2 linked regions of the Mus musculus genome follow. The protein of the gene in region 1 purifies or fractionates together with the protein of each later gene. This does not show direct contact. Links are inferred from orthologs where the notes say so. Each region holds a gene or a part of one and is shown on either strand. Other genes may lie near its edges.

Region 1 (3,500 bases):
CTCAAAGGAAAGATGTTCCCAGTAGGACAAATGTCCTCATGGGGAACTTCCAAATCAGGACACGTGGAGAGGCTGGCATTCCAAACAAATGTAGATACCACAACCCTGCTCATTAAGGGCTCATTTATTCTTAAAAGTCCACGACTTCCTGTTTCCTGTCTCGGCAGCACTCACCTCTCCAGTCTGAGTCAGTGAAGAATTCTTGCTGTTTAAGTAATTCTCAGCCTGAGTCGACTCCTGATGAGCCCGGCGTCCCATCTTGGCCCCCTAGAAGGAGAGATGGAGAGTACGGCTGATCCAGTGTCATCTGAGGCCCTGTGGGTACGACACACAGTAAGCCAGGACTGGGGTCTTATGGCGTGGCAGAGAACAGGATCTGAGTAACATAAATATGTTATATGAATATATATATATATCATATATATGATATATATGTGAATGCCACATGGATGTATCCCTAAACCCTTAGGAGAAAGTACCCAAGTCATTTCTATTTGGTAGAATTGGAAACATACAGGTTATTGATCATGAGATTTTCAACAGCCACAGATGCAGCAAAAACAAAGTCACTGTTCTGTCCATGACACATGGTTAGAAATGCAGCTAGCCTGGACAGAGAGACCTCAAGCCATATAGCTCCAAGCAGGTGGGTAAAGGCTCCCACATTCCTAAGCAGGACCTGAGACCGCTAACAGACAGGCGTTGAGAGAGAATCCTTCAATTCTATGGCAGTTGAGTAATCCAGACACCTCTTGCTCTGCTGGCTAGAGGCGCATCTACAGGCGCGGAGGGAGCCCCACCACAGGAATGCTGAGACGGCACCTTTGGATGCTAAGAACAAGCACCTCGGGGTTCTGAGTCAACAGATGAAACCTGTGCAGGTGTCCTCAGGCCCCCCAAGTGGGCAGGGGCTCTGTCTCCAACATTCCCCAGAACAAAAGAAAACTCTGAGGCACACGAGTGGGTGCTGACGAGTGTCTGTGCGACCATTTACTTAGCAAAGCCAAACCAAACCAGCATCGGCCTAGCATCTTCAGGTCTCATTATCGCGGCTGTGTTCCAGTCTCAAGATGGTATGAATGAACACGGAAACCAATGCCATTTTATTAAAAAGGAAACCAAGGCCCACGTTCCGATCAAAATCCTGTGTTCATCTTATATGTCCCATGACACCCCTCTGAAAACTAGATGCTAACTGTTCTAAGAAGGGAGACAAGGTTTTTAGGAGCCCCACATTAAACAAACAAACAAAACCCACTAAAGCGGATCTGGGCAATCCAATTTCAATCATCAACCTTTCAAGTTACGATGCAAATCTTTTCAAGTTTCAAGAGTGGTGGGAACAAGCTTGCTGATAATACAGCTCATTTCCTTCTCTAGAAAGGGACCCTCTTGGTCTGGAGAGATGGCTCAGTGGTTAAAAGCACTGACTGCTCTTCCAGAGGTCCTGAATTCAATTCCCAGCAACCACATGGTGGCTCACAACCATCTGTAATGGGGACCCTCTTCTGGTGTGTCTGAAAACAGCTACAGTGTGCTCAGATACATAAAATAAATAAATAAATCTTAAAAAGAGAGAGAGAGAGAAAGGCACCCTCCTTTGTTTATCCAAGTATCTGATCCTACAGTAGTTACCCTAAACAAAAATTAATGCTCCTGTGTGTGAATGTCGTTGGCAAGGGACTTCTCTAACAGACATTAAAGTTTAAGACTATTTGGAGATCCTGTACATTGACAACACAGAAAATCTGAGATCATGTATTTTTAAGGGCAGTCTTTTTATTGTCCTTCTCCCCTCGACTAGGGCAAAGGCCAGTGATGGTCTGTTCTGTGCTATCTATCTTTCCAGTGACTAGAACAATGCCTGATATACAGTTGGGCTTGCTACATATCTGTGGCAAGAATGAAAAAAGTCACTACATCCACATCCCGGGTACCCAAAAGGTTCATGTGTCAGAAAGACCTGGTGGCCTAATGTCCTTAGCTTTTTAAAAACTCTGCTCCATTCGAAACCAATTAGCGTCTGCCCCTTTTTATCTCCCTCCAACAGGTGCCTCTCTAACACCCTGGAGGGTATCAAGGCCCTTCAAAACACCTGAGATTTAACATCAGAAACTAAGGATTTGCCAGGTGGCCCAATCCTTCAGTGATCTCAACTCTAAAGGCTATTGAGACCTGGTGGGGATTGTGGCAGTAAGAAAACGCTGAATTGTAGGTCTTTAATCAAGTTCTATCTACTGGCTGGACGCCGGTCATAGGCTGGGAGGAAGCAACAGCGAAGGTCAGGAACAGAGGCAAAACACTTTCCACGAATTCCCCTTTCATCTGCACAGCAACAGTCTACTAGCATGGAAGTCGAGGCTAGGTGCATTCTGGTCCATCTACAGTCCGGTTACCTAGTTACTCCCTCTCCCCGCCACACACACACACAACTGGAGTATTGATTTCCAATCCTGGGGGAGCAGAGATTACAGAGAGCATGAGGAAAGGACATCTCCAGCCAGCTTTCTTCCCGGCCTTTCAGAACTTCCGGGACTAGACTTCCCGGGAGAAAACTCCAGGGAACGGGCGTGGTCGGGGCGGGGGCAGACCCTCCGCTAAGGTGGGATTCGCACTTAGGCGGTTGAGCCCGGATTTGTCCAGACTCCCAGCTTCTCAGAGAGCCGTGCCATTTGTCCCGCCCGCCTAACCGGACCCCAGCCCCCAGCATCGCTCCTCACGGAGGTGGCCGAGCTGCGACGTCTCTCCTCGCCCAGGTCCAGTAAATCGTCCATCGCCGCGGCAGCTGATGTCACTTCCTGGAAACCGGCGTCTCCGCCGCGTCCCTAACAACGACTCAGCCCTTCCATCCCAGTATTTAAAGAGTCCGCCTCACAAATCCTAGGTCCTGTGTGTCACCTTCCAGTTGAAACCAAATCTTGCCTACACCAACTTTGCTTGACTTCGGAGAAAACAAAACAAATTTCCAGCTAGCAAGATCCTCTAACATTGCTCCAAAGAGGTTAGCCCTGGGGACTGCCTACATTTGTAACTCTGATTAAACACATTTGTGATTGGAAGCGCTGCTCTTGGTGATTATCCTGAGCCCTCACATTCACAATGTACAAAGGTCTTCAGGGTTACTGTTCAAGGATAGATGTGCAGGGTTATTTCCATTTGACAGATGAGCACTAAGGTAATAAATAGTTTATAAAATTTACAATGACTGGCAAAAAAGCTGCGTATGTGATTTCTGCATTCAAGAAGTTTATTGAAAGTGGTCACACACCGTGATGCATGCCTGTAATTCCAACACTTGGGCGGTTAGAGGCAGGAAATTTTTAGTTTGATATCATCCTCAGCTATATAGTGAAATTTGGGACGCTAGGGCTAGATTACATGAAACGCTGTCTTTGAAAACAAAGTTTATATAGAGGCCAGATTAAAGTATTCAATCTTCAATCACTTTCGAAAGTATAGACCTAGCCAAGCGTGGTGACGGAGCCACAATCCCAGCTTGT
Region 2 (4,123 bases), on another chromosome or scaffold:
AGGGAATGGACAAGCAATGACTGGTCCAGCTTGAGACCCAGGCAATGAAAGAGAGATCACCCCTGAAACTGTTAATGACATTCTGTTTGCTGTACTTGCAGACAGGTGCCTAGCATAACCACCATCAGAGAGGCTTCACCTAGCAACTGATGGAAACAGATGCAGAGACCACAGCCAAACATTAGGTGGAGCTTAGGGGATCCTGTGGAAGAGAGGAAGGATTGAAGAAGCCAGAGAGGTCAAGAACACCACAAGAAAACCAACAGAATCAACTAACCTAGGTTCATAGGGGCTCACAGAGAATGAACCCCCAACCAGGGAACCTGCACGGGACCAACCTAGGCTCGCTGCACATGTTACAGTTGTGTATCTTGGTCTACTTAACAGTGGGAGCAGGGGCTGGGTCTGACTCTTTTTTTTTTAATTTTTTTATTATTTATTTATTATATGTGAGTACCCTGTAGCTGTCTAAAGACACACCAGAAGAGGGAGTCATATCTCGTTACGGATGGTTGTGAGCCACCATGTGGTTGCTGGGATTTGAACTCAGGACCTTCAGAAGAGCAGTCAGTGCTCTTAACCACTGAGCCATCTCACCAGCCCCCTGGGTCTGACTCTTGTTACCTGATTTAGGGATCCTTTCTTCCTCTTGGGATGCCTCCTCCAGCCTTAAAAGTAGAGGAGGTGCCTAGTCTTAATGCAACTCGATATGCCATGGCTGGTTGGCATCCATGGGAGGAGAGAAAGGGAGGAGTGGATGGGGGGGGGGAATACTGGGAGGAGGAGAGGAGGAGGGAGAACTCTGGTCAGAATGTAAAGAAAATTTCAAATTTAAGAGAGAGCGGGGGAGAGACAAAGAGAGAGGGGGAGAGAGAAGACACCTAGCACACAAGTCCACCCAGGTTTGGTGATACATGCCTACAGGAGACACTTGGGAGGCTCAGGCAGGGAAGATTTTGAGTTTGTGGCTAGCCTGGACCACTGGATTATACTGACTTTCAGTCAAGTCAGTCTCGAAGTCTCTCTCAAAACACTCTTAATGACTACCCCAAAAGCAAGGCAGTCACTGGCTTTTAGCAACAAACCTGCATGCTCTTCCTAGGGCAGGAGAAACTAGGGGCTCCCACGGGCTCCTTTCCTGTCAATCAACTGGAAATTAAAGAGTCGATTTCTTTCTTTGGAAGAAAAGGTGGGGGAGGAGGCATTAAAGCTTAAAGCTTCAAGTCCAGGAGATGAAAACAAAACAAAACAAAAACCTGCCAGCTGGTCCCAGTTTCAAAGTCAAGTCCTTGTTCCCTAAAATCATGAGTCATGGAAGGCAGAGTCAGATGGGTCTGTATGAGTTTGAGGCTAACCTGGTTTGAATATCGAGTTTCAGTCTTGCTTCATAAGACCTATCTCAAAAAATAAAATAAAAATAAAATCACATCCCTAAGAAATTTACTTCTCTAAAAATCATTTCGTTAACAACTAAATCCCTCAACTGAACGCGATATCATTTGATTTCAACCGGATACACGCTGAATTCTAACTTTCCTACCCCGACCTTACCCTTGTAAATGGATCTTCGGTTCCCAAAATGGAGAAGTTGTAAACAAATTTCAGAGAGCAGCTATCATGTTTATAGAATTTAGTTGATGAAAGATTAAAACAGGTGACGCCTTGGGAGGCAGAGGTAGGGGGCAAATGTTCAAAGTCCTCCTTATTAACTTATTATTAAGTTTCAGGGAAGCCTAGTCTGGATGGGACCCACGGGGGGTGGGGGGGTCGCTATTCCGTCTTTATAACTTTGTAAAATATGGTTTCGGATCAGTTAAAAACCAGTTTAAACGTCAGACCAAATCCTAACACGCCAAGCCTTTATCGCTGTGGTAATGGAATGGTAAAGGAAGAATGTAGTTGGCGTGTTTGATTTTAATCCTCACACCATGCCAAAGTTTTGAGCCAGTGATTTCACACGGCCCCCCATTAACTTTTCGTTAGCCTAGCTGACAAGAAATGAACAGGCTGAGATTGCAGCCCGTTTGTCTTTCCAAGCTCACCATGTGAACCAGGCAAAAAGAGGGGTATTGGTAGAAAAGCCAGGGGCACGAGCAAGAGTACGGATCAGTCTAAACTAAGTCCTGATTGAAAGAACTGCTAGAACTCAGGGGAAGGAAGAAAGAAGAAAAGAACAGTTTTGCATTTTCAGCTCTCGGACTCGTTCCAGAATTCCGCAATGACTGCCAAATGCAACGGCCTTGGAACCAATTAACCATCACTCGCGACCTTCCGCGTCGACTCCCAAGAGTGCCCTCCTTCCAGCTCAGTTCTGATCCTACTCGTGAAAGACATGGGGGAGGGCGAACGCATTGCAAGTAAGGGAATCGAGACCCCAGGGGAGCAGGGCGAGCTGGTCCAGGGTAAACTCCAGGGGAGCGGCTCAAGAGTGCTGGCGGCACGGGATGCACAGCGCATTGCAAATGAGGGAATCGGAGGCCCTTGGGGAGTAGGGTGAGCAGGTTCGGGGTAAATTCCAGGAAAGAGACGCGAGAGCGCTCTGGCGACGCGGGGTGTGCAAAGCGCCTGCTCAGCTGGGGACCCGATCTTGGCCTCCGCTCTTGCCCGCCCACCCTGGAGACCCCAGCCCGCCCCACCGCCGCCTGACCTGTCCCCGCGGGGTCCGGGTGCGCAGCGCGCCGCCTCCATACCCGCCCGACCGGTGGCATCAGCGTCCAGACCCCGAGACGCCGCCGCCCGGCTGGAGAGGATGGAGGAGATCGGGCCCCGCCCCTGACAACCACACCCCGCACTGTCGCCGACGCCCATTGGTCCAGTGCCCTACGCTCCCCTCTCACTGGCAAATGGCGTTAGCCATGATGCTGGAGGGTTTCCAGGGGGCGGGAGGCACCGGGAGGCGAAGGCGCGTGCGCTAGATCCGGGAGCAGCCCCCCGGGGTTGGGTCGGAAGAGTCTGCTGCTCCATTCCACCGCTCCGGGACTGGCCCCCACAGAGCGATCCCCAGCACCCCTCTGTGGCACCGAGAACATCCAGGCTGCTGCCTTGGGTTTTCTACTCTTTATCACCTGAAGCCTCAGCATCTGACCACCGACTCTGGGATAGCCGAGGCCTTCAGCCTCCCAAACCAGCCTTTGCCCAAAGCCCGACTGAGGGATCCCTACCTGGGGACCTTCAGCAAATGTCCTTATTTAGTGAGGGTAGCAGCTAAGCTGTCCTCTCTGCAGTAAATCATGCCTCCAGCCATCAATGCCTTTGTGGCTTTGGTCCCTATAGGACTTTATGACCAGAACTATAGCATATAAACTTAATTAGTAAGGCCAAAGTCACACTGATGTTGAATCCAAAAATTCACTTAAAAAATAATGTATTTATTTTGAGACAGGATTTCACTATACTATCCTCGGTTGGTCTGGAACTCTGAGATCCTACTGCCTCTGTCACCCTAGTGCTAGAATTAAAGGCATGTGCCATCGTGCCCTAGGCTATTATGTGTATGTTTCACCTATGTGTATGTCTGCATATCATATGCATCCCTGGTGCCCAAGGCTGTCAGATACCCCGGAACTGGAGTTACAGATGGTTGTGAGTCACCATGTGGGTGCTGGGAATAGAACTCGCGCCTCCGGGCATCCAGGGCTCATAACTGCTGAGCCACCTCTCCAGGTCCCAGAAATTAATTTTTGAAAACTAGGGAATATGATACCTGCACACATAGGCTAGGAAAGCATTGCACTCACTTAGCCCCTCTCCCTGTGGGACTCTGGATTGCTCCTTTGTGTGTGTGTGTGTGTGTGTGCTACAAATCTTCACTCATAAGCTCTGCTTGGTCTAGAAAGGGCTAGTGCTAAATGAGTAGGGTTGAAAGAGATGCTATTTGAATGAGTAAGAGGACCACTGAGACAGGCACATCCACACTACCCACACTAGAGTGTGAGCTTCCACTTTATGTACACATAGGATAAGTTACTGATAGGAATCCATTTCTCCACCACATGTGATAGCGTCATATTTCTTCCACTGTAAACACATCTCAAAACACAAACCTAAAGTACTCATCCGTCCCCTAGCTCTCTGACCCCATCGTATTCACCAACACAGGCCTGGCTTGGGACCCTTTGAGCCA

The links.
Region 2: the proteins of Ift43 (region 1) and Tulp3 purify together in Homo sapiens (affinity purification with mass spectrometry; 5 studies listed by BioGRID and IntAct, counting the BioPlex papers as one, with this or other methods). This does not show direct contact. The link is inferred for Mus musculus from reciprocal best matches to the Homo sapiens genes IFT43 and TULP3.

Annotation. Positions count from the first base shown.
Region 1 is NC_000078.6:86,081,861-86,085,360, reverse strand, and holds the start of Ift43 (intraflagellar transport protein 43 homolog), read right to left. Parts: upstream 2,801-3,500; 5' UTR 2,775-2,800; coding exon 2,721-2,774; intron 268-2,720; coding exon 175-267; intron 1-174. UniProt on the Homo sapiens protein: As a component of IFT complex A (IFT-A), a complex required for retrograde ciliary transport and entry into cilia of G protein-coupled receptors (GPCRs), it is involved in ciliogenesis.
Region 2 is NC_000072.6:128,353,091-128,357,213, forward strand, and holds the start of Tulp3 (tubby-related protein 3), read right to left. Parts: upstream 2,762-4,123; 5' UTR 2,689-2,761; coding exon 2,648-2,688; intron 1-2,647. UniProt on the Homo sapiens protein: Negative regulator of the Shh signaling transduction pathway: recruited to primary cilia via association with the IFT complex A (IFT-A) and is required for recruitment of G protein-coupled receptor GPR161 to cilia, a promoter of PKA-dependent basal repression machinery in Shh signaling.